2 linked regions of the Callithrix jacchus genome follow. The protein of the gene in region 1 purifies or fractionates together with the protein of each later gene. This does not show direct contact. Links are inferred from orthologs where the notes say so. Each region holds a gene or a part of one and is shown in the gene's direction. Other genes may lie near its edges.

What was found. Proteins that work in one complex are often made in the same cells at the same time.
Region 2: the proteins of RBBP7 (region 1) and SIN3A purify together in Homo sapiens (affinity purification with mass spectrometry; 8 studies listed by BioGRID and IntAct, counting the BioPlex papers as one, with this or other methods). This does not show direct contact. The link is inferred for Callithrix jacchus from reciprocal best matches to the Homo sapiens genes RBBP7 and SIN3A.

Annotation. Positions count from the first base shown.
Region 1 is NC_133524.1:17,126,365-17,130,641, reverse strand, and holds the start of RBBP7 (histone-binding protein RBBP7), read left to right. Parts: upstream 1-1,440; 5' UTR 1,441-1,662; coding exon 1,663-1,678; intron 1,679-2,484; coding exon 2,485-2,629; intron 2,630-4,277. UniProt on the Homo sapiens protein: Core histone-binding subunit that may target chromatin remodeling factors, histone acetyltransferases and histone deacetylases to their histone substrates in a manner that is regulated by nucleosomal DNA.
Region 2 is NC_133509.1:22,463,613-22,467,260, forward strand, and holds part of SIN3A (paired amphipathic helix protein Sin3a), read left to right. Parts: intron 1-1,901; coding exon 1,902-2,140; intron 2,141-3,506; coding exon 3,507-3,648. UniProt on the Homo sapiens protein: Acts as a transcriptional repressor. Corepressor for REST. Interacts with MXI1 to repress MYC responsive genes and antagonize MYC oncogenic activities. Also interacts with MXD1-MAX heterodimers to repress transcription by tethering SIN3A to DNA.

The DNA of each region.
Region 1 (4,277 bases):
TCTCCCTCTCCAGCCACCCACTCTGCCTTAGGCACTAACAGGATTCCTGGACCCCGCCTGGATGGAGAGCGCTGTAATAATGAATTGTATTGTATCGAAAACAAGACGATAAATATCTACAGAAGGGAATGTGACTGGTTCTGCCACTGACTAACGTCTGAATTTGCGTCCCGGTCAGAAAAGTGGGCAGGACAACAGCATCTGCAAGATAGCATCTGAGCATGAAGGCACTTGGAAAGGTATCAAGGCAGCAAATGTTCCGGGGGTGCTTTTGCAAGAGGAGCCTCTCTTGGAGCTGGACGTACACTTCGGTTCCCTTTGCACGCAGGCACCTTGGTCGCCTCCCCCAACTCCGTCCCCTCTGCTCCAGGCCCTCATTTTTCTCTCTCCATTCCCCTTTTGGCCTTTCAGCAAGCTTTCTCCTTCCCCACCCCCCGCCTCCTCAGGGGCTGCGAAGTTCCCTGGCAGAGCAGGGCTCAGGTAAGCAGGCCCAGGGCAGTTCAGCCCAGCTCTCCCCAGCTCCGCCAGCTTGGGGTGGGGTTGCTCTGGGACCCCTACAGGTGACAAAAATGACTCAGCAGGGGCCGGGACTGGGATGAGAAAGGAATGCCAGTGCAGTAACAAAATCCCCTGAAGCACGAAGAGGCCGCAAACCGTCATCTTAAGGACCCACATATCCAACAAATTAAAATGTAATTTATTGTAAATCGGGTTCAGCCCGCCGGCCGCCTGTGCCGCCACACGCTTCACATTTAGCCTAACAGGGCGGCCAGGCGGCTTTTGCAGGCAGAAAACGCCCGCGGCCTCTCCAAAAGGTCTCCTCCATCTGAGACCAGCCCCACTTCGGCCCGACCCGGCCCCAGGAAAGGCCAGTGGGCGGGAGGAGAACATCAGGGGTGCAGAGAATTGCATGTGCGTGATTATCAGGGAGACATTGAAGGCACAGTAATCTCTCGAGAACAGGAACCATTTTCCCCTCTTGCTCTGAGATTTTGCTTGGCTAAGCGGCGGCAGCCTCCCTGCCCCCTCTCGCCCCCACCACCGCTGCCGCTACAAGCAACCACGCCCCGCGGGCCCCAAGGCTCGCCGCCCCCGGGCGCGCTGCCCCCGCGGAGCCGACCAGCCGCGCCTCCATTCGCCCCGCCCCCGCACGCCCCCATCCGCCCCCGCGGCCGGCCCTGGGAGCGCCGGGCGAGCCCTCGCGCCTGCGCATCGCCAACTTCCTGCCGTGACACGCCCCGCCCACCCCCAGAAGCCCGCCTCCGAACGCCGCGTGAAACCCGCCCGCCGCACTTCATTGGTCGCGGCGCCAGAGCCGTTGGCTCCCAGACCCGCCTCTCCGCCTCCTCTCACTTTTCCCAGGGCGGATGCGCCTGCGCTCAGCTGCCTGGGCGGGCTGGGAGGCGCGGGTTGAAAAGTCTCGTTCCAAGTTTGGAGAGAGAGAGAAGAGCGCTTCAGACCTCGGTACCCGCGAGCGGGGAGGAGGCAGGAAAGAAGAACGCGGCGTCTGGGGAGCACCCAGGCCGCAAGACTGGGCCCGGGCTTTCGTGAGCGGGAAGTGCGTGACGCGCTTGGGAAAGGCAGGAGCGCCAGCGGTCGGGCTGCTCTTGGCTAACGAGGGGAGTCCGAGGCGGCGGCGAGGGGCGAACGACCCGACGCAAGATGGCGAGTAAAGAGAGTAAGAGGCCCTGCGGGGCGGCGCGCGCCGGGGCCGCGGGGGGCGGCGGGCCTGCGAGGCCGCGGCACGCGCCGGCGAAAGGCGCGAATTGGCGTGCGGAGCAGGGGGCGGGGCCGGGCGCGAGGCTGGGCGCGCGCCTCGTGGGGCCTGCGCGGGACGGGACCGCCGAGCCGAGGGCTCCGAGCACTTCCGGAACCGGGCGCGGGGCCGAGGGCTGGGCCCCCCTCCTCCCCTCCCTCCCTCCAGCGGCTTCGCTCCCTCCGGCGCCCTAGGCCCCGTGGCGGAGGCGGTCGCCGCTGCCTGGAAGCGAACACCGCGGCTCTTTACAGGCGCGCGCGTCGATCGCCTCGGGGTCGCGGCCCTTGTCCGGGGGTTGCTGGAGCCCTCCGGCCTATGGCGGCCGTCAGGACCTGGGGCCTCCCCTGATGGGGAATGAAGGGACTGGGCCTGTGGGCTTCTGCTACATGTACATTTGTCTCACCCAGTGGGTCGCGCAGCCCCTGTACATATAAGTCGTCATCTTAGAACAGGTGCGAACAGCTGTAGTAGGGTAAACAATTTCCATGTCCGCGTAATTGACTACCCAACATGGTATACGCAGGAGGTATTGATCTCAACTAAAAAAAATACGCTTCCTGGTTGTGTTAGTATTCTCTCCGCCTCCTGGAAGAGCGGTTAGTTGTCCGTGTCCAAATTAGAGGTAAAAAGAAAGCGTACATGAGGTGTGGCCATCTTGAGATGACCTCCAATTTCTGACTTCAGTCCATCTCAGGCACTTAATCGTGTGGGCTTTCTCCAAATTTCAGTGTTTGAAGATACTGTGGAGGAGCGTGTCATCAATGAAGAATATAAAATCTGGAAGAAGAATACACCGTTTCTATATGACCTGGTTATGACCCATGCTCTTCAGTGGCCCAGTCTTACAGTTCAGTGGCTTCCTGAAGTGACTAAGTAAGGGTTTCTGGCAACTTTTATTTTGCTTAAATTTAACTGTAGTTCTGAATTTCCTAGTTTTGACGTTTTATACATAGAACATAAGTATGTAATCAGCCCTTGCATGAGGTAGCAGGTGGTTTTTATTTTCAAAACTTACGTGATTTGTGGGATGATTTCTGGCATATACTGTGGCGTTAAAAGGGGAGAAAGAATCTGTTGTGAGATTAATAGTGTTTGGAGGAAATACTGAATGTATTTGACATTGCCTGGGCTTGAATGTAGAGCAGCATCTCTCTGGGCCCAAACTACTACATGTCTTTAAAACTTCATTGAAAAATAGAACATATACAGAAAAGTTCACACATTGTTAAGTGTATGGCTTGATAAATTTTTACAAAGTGAACACGTAAGAGGCACCCAAGATAAATACATTTTAATTGGTAAAGGGGAAAAGACCTTGTCAACAATTGACCAAAGAATGGGTATTATCGCCGCATGTTTTCACTCATAGGCGGGTATTGAACAATGACGAACACGGGGAGGGGAGCACCACACACTGGGGTCTGTTGCGGGGGAGGTGATGGGGAGGGATAACATGGGGAGAAATGCCAGATATCGGTGACAAGGGACGGAGGCAGCAAACCACCTTGCCATGTATGTACCTATGCAACAATCCTGCATGATCTGCGCATATACCCAAGAACCTAAAGTGCAATTTGAAAAAAAAAGGTGTTAATCAGCTTCTAATATGGAATCCACTTTGAGATTGCTGTTAGTCTTCATAAGAGTATTCTTTTCTGTTAGATCTACAGTTTCTCTGGTAATAATTGCTGGCATTTATTGAGCACTCAGAACAGGGCCTGGCACATCTGAAGAGTCTACATCCTATTGTAATTCTCATAATAGTACTGTGCTCTAGGTACTTTTCATCATCTTTGTTTTACTAATAAGGGAACTGGGACTGAGCGTTTAAGTGCTATCCCAGGATCACACAGCTGGTCCCTGCATTAGATTTCTCATTCACTTGCACTTTTCTAGTAGGAACTTGACCATGTACTTTTAAAGTGTATTAAATACGGAGCCAGGCACAGTGGCTTACTCCTGTAATCCTAGCGCTTTGGAAGGTTAGCTTGAGCCCAGGAGTTCAAGGCTGTAGTGAGAGCGAGAGACCCTGTCTCCCAAAGAAACAAAAAAAAAGTGTATTAAAATTGGGTGTTGTGGACATATAAGTTAAAGAATATTAAATTAAACTCTAACCTAAAAAGAGGATTTTGTAACAAGTTATAAAAATAATTTTTGGCCGGACGCAGTGGCTCACACCTGTTACCCTATCACTGGTAGGCTGAGGCAGGTGGATTGCCTGAGTTCAGGAGTTCAAAACCAGCCTGGGCAATGTGCTGAAATCCCGTCTCTACTAAAATACAAAAAAAAGAGGGCCAGGCGTGGTGGTGTGTGCCTGTAGTCCCGGCTACAGGGAGGCTGAGGCAGGAGAATTGCTTGAACCCGGGAGGCAGGGGTTGCAGTGAGCTGAGATCACACTACTGCACTCCAGCCTGGGCGACAGAGCAAGACTCCGTCTCTAAAATAATAATAATCATAATGAGCTAATTTTGTATAAAACTGCTCTTACAATGGCTAGGTTCTGCACGCAAACATTGATTTC
Region 2 (3,648 bases), on another chromosome or scaffold:
CAGTTTTCCCTTGTCACACTTGCTTCAGCTGTTTCTGGTGTGTTTTTAATGAACAGCCACATGCTGCCTCACCACTGGCAGGTGGTTGGCCATCTTTGCCCCAGCATTTATAAGGAGTTGCAGCTATTTGCAGAAAACTAAATCATGACAGATTTTAACTTCCATAGGAGTATTACCAAACTAAAGAAGACATTTCTTTGTTATTTATATTTAGTAGGGTTAGCTGATGAGTTAGGAGAGCTTGGCATCTGTTTTTGACAGAATGTTCCCATCCTTTCTCAACTGGTATGCCTGCAAATGAGAGGCAGCCTCATTTCTCATTTGTGACTACAAGGGCAAAGATGAAAGAAGTGTGGGGTGTCCATGTGTTTAAGATTTGATGGGGTGGGCTAGTTTGAAGGAACATGCTTTACCAATCATAAATAGGTTAGTAATGCTTCAGTACAGACAATTCCCACATTTGAGTGACTTGTAAAACCATTGGGTTTAATTTCTAATCATTCTACGTGTACGTTGGTGTTTAGCAGGGGATTTGGCGTGTCTGAATCACAGGGGACCCAGGCCAAGGGATTGCCACCATCATGAATGTTGCCAGTTACTAGAAGGAAAAGAAAGCCCAGAAAGATCTCTTACCTTTAAATGCTCCAGCCTAGAAGTAATAAACATTACTTTTACTCAACTCATAACAAATCATTTGCCAGAACTAGTTACATGACCCTATTCATTCATAAGGGAGCCAGGAAATTTAGTCCCTTTTTGTCTGTATTTGGAGAGCAAGAGGGGCCAGAACTATTGACAAAATGACTACCAGAGTCTCAAAACAAGAAAACGTAGGGAACAATTCTGCAAACATTTGGCTGTAGGTTCTTGAGACTGCTCATTTACTTCTTTTTTTTCTTCTTCTTTGATACGGAGTCTAGCTCTGTCACCAGGCTGGAGTGCAGTGGTGTGATCTCAGCTCACTGTCGCCTCTGCCTCCCAGGTTCAAGTGATTCTCCTGCCTCAGCCTCCCGAGTAGCTGGATTTACAGGCACGCGCCACCATGCCCAACTAATTTTTGTATTTTGAGATGGGTTTTACCATGTTGGCCAGGATCGTCTTAATCTCCTAACCTCATAATCCACCAACCTTGGCCTCCCAAAGTACTCGGATTACAGACGTGAGCCACCGCACCTGGCCCATTTACTTCATTTTCTGTTTCTCATTTAAAGAACCTTATTTTATGCTAGGGAAAAACTAGAATCAAAGGTTGCCAGGAGTTCAATAAGAATTTAAATGATTACCCACAGATGCAACAGCAAACTCCTTAGGGTATGATAGTCACTGCTTTTACTATTACTGGATGCAGAACAAGGCTATTGAATATTTAAGTATTTGAATATATTTAAATATTTCAAGTTAAACCTAAAAACTCTCAAGACAGAGGTCTTTTGGGATTGTTTTGATGATGTTTGTTCATAATGGATCTTAGCAATTCAGGAAAGTTCAGAGAAACGTATCAGTAAAGTCATCTCCTGTTAGGTTCCTCTGGTGCAAGATCAGTAGTCCTAAGCAAGGCACACACTGGTGGTGATGGAGGTAATAACTACCATGTATCCAACTTAATCCTATGGTTCTTTTTTTTTTCTGCTTTGTAGACTACTGACTCAGTCCTATGGTTCTTAAAGTGCCATGCATTGTGCTAAATACTTTATGTAGATTATATCATTTAATCCAAAAAGAAGCTTATTAGAGTAATAGGTGCTGTTATCCCTATTTTACTGGTAAGGAAACAGCCTTATGCAGCTAGTAAGGCAGAACCAGGATTCAAATCCAAGGAGTTCAACTCCCTACCTTATTCGTCTAACCACTATATTCTATTCTGATTTGGGTCCTAAGCATACCTTTGTCTTCCTCTTCAGCTTGATGTAGTTTTAGAAACCAATCTGGCAACAATCCGGGTTCTGGAAGCAATACAGAAGAAGCTTTCCCGCTTGTCTGCTGAGGAACAAGCCAAATTTCGCTTGGACAACACCCTTGGGGGCACATCAGAAGTCATCCATAGAAAAGCACTCCAGAGGATATATGCTGATAAAGCAGCTGACATCATTGATGGTCTGAGAAAGAATCCTTCCATCGCTGTCCCAATTGTCCTTAAAAGGTACCTGAGCAAATGTGCCCTCGGTGCTTTAGTGTACTTCACTACTGTGTCAGTGTCCCACTAAATAAGGCTCTTGTTTTCAACCTGGTTGTCCCATGAGACCGCTCTTTCTCCCCAGCCCTGGTTGTTGGAATTTACATGCAGAGTGGAACTTCTTTTGGGGGTTCTTTGTGACCAACGTTAGAGAACAAATCTTGTAGGTTCATGGTGGAAGGCTCTGTGTATATGTTTGAGGGAGTATTTTAAAATACAGAAAAGAAAAGATAATTGCCACCCATGTTCCTGCCACTCAGGATTAACTTAAAATCTTTTTTATTTTTAATTAATTTTTTTTTTTTTTTTTGAGACAAGGTCTCCACTTTTTGACCCAGGCTGGAATGCAGTGGTGTGAACACAGCTCACTGCAGCCTTGACTTCCCAGGCTCAAGTGATCCTCCTACCTCAGGGTAGGAGGGATCTGGGACTACAGGCCTGCGCCACCACATACCCAGCTAATTGTTAATTTTGTTAAATACAGACAGGGTCTTGCTATGTTTCCCAGGCTGACCTCTAACTCCTGGGCTCGAGCAATCCTCCTGCTTTGGCCTCCCCAAAGTGCTGGGATTATAGCACAGGCCACAGTATGCCCAGCCCTATGTCATTCTTGACCACACTGAATCCTTTGCTGTGAGCTTGGTTCTCTCTAAGTATCATCTGGTAAAAATTAATTCTTGTTTGCTGCATTGTTGACAAATACCCAGATTTTATTTGTCCTTCATCTTTCCCTCAAGAGCTGGCACAGATTGATGGTTTCTTTTTGCCTGTAACATTTAACTCTGGCTTTTGAGATGTTGATTATTCTTCCATTTTAGTGCTGTTTTTTTGGTCTTAGTCTGTTGTCTTCTGGGTTATTAAAATCAGTTCTGGTCAGAACTTTCCAGACTGTATCCAGAGGAACATTACTGTGCACGTTCTCTGCTCTTGGACTTCTATGTCTTCATTAGCATTGTGAACATTTTGCAAAATCCTGCAGCAAAGAAACATGTTTAACTTTATTTTTGCTGGCAAAAGAAGAGAACTGTTTTTTTCAAGGAAGACTTCCTTAAATCTCAAAGGTATTCCTTGGAATGCTGTTTGATAAGTAACTGTTCTAGGGAAATTATTTGACTGAGATAAATCATTTCCCCAAAATAAGTCTTGGATGAGTAATTTCCTCATGAAACAGAGTTCAAGACAGATTTGATAACATTCATCCTAAGTTGCCAATAATTTTGACAGACCTAATATAGCTTTAACTTTTCTTGAAATAAAGTAAACCTGGCAGATTTCTTTGTTCTAAACCCTCTGAATTCCCATATGTTGTTTCCATCCCTTCCCACTTCACTAGGTTGAAGATGAAAGAGGAAGAATGGCGAGAAGCTCAGAGAGGCTTTAACAAAGTATGGCGAGAACAAAATGAGAAATACTACTTGAAGTCTCTGGACCACCAGGGTATCAACTTTAAACAGAATGACACCAAGGTCCTGAGG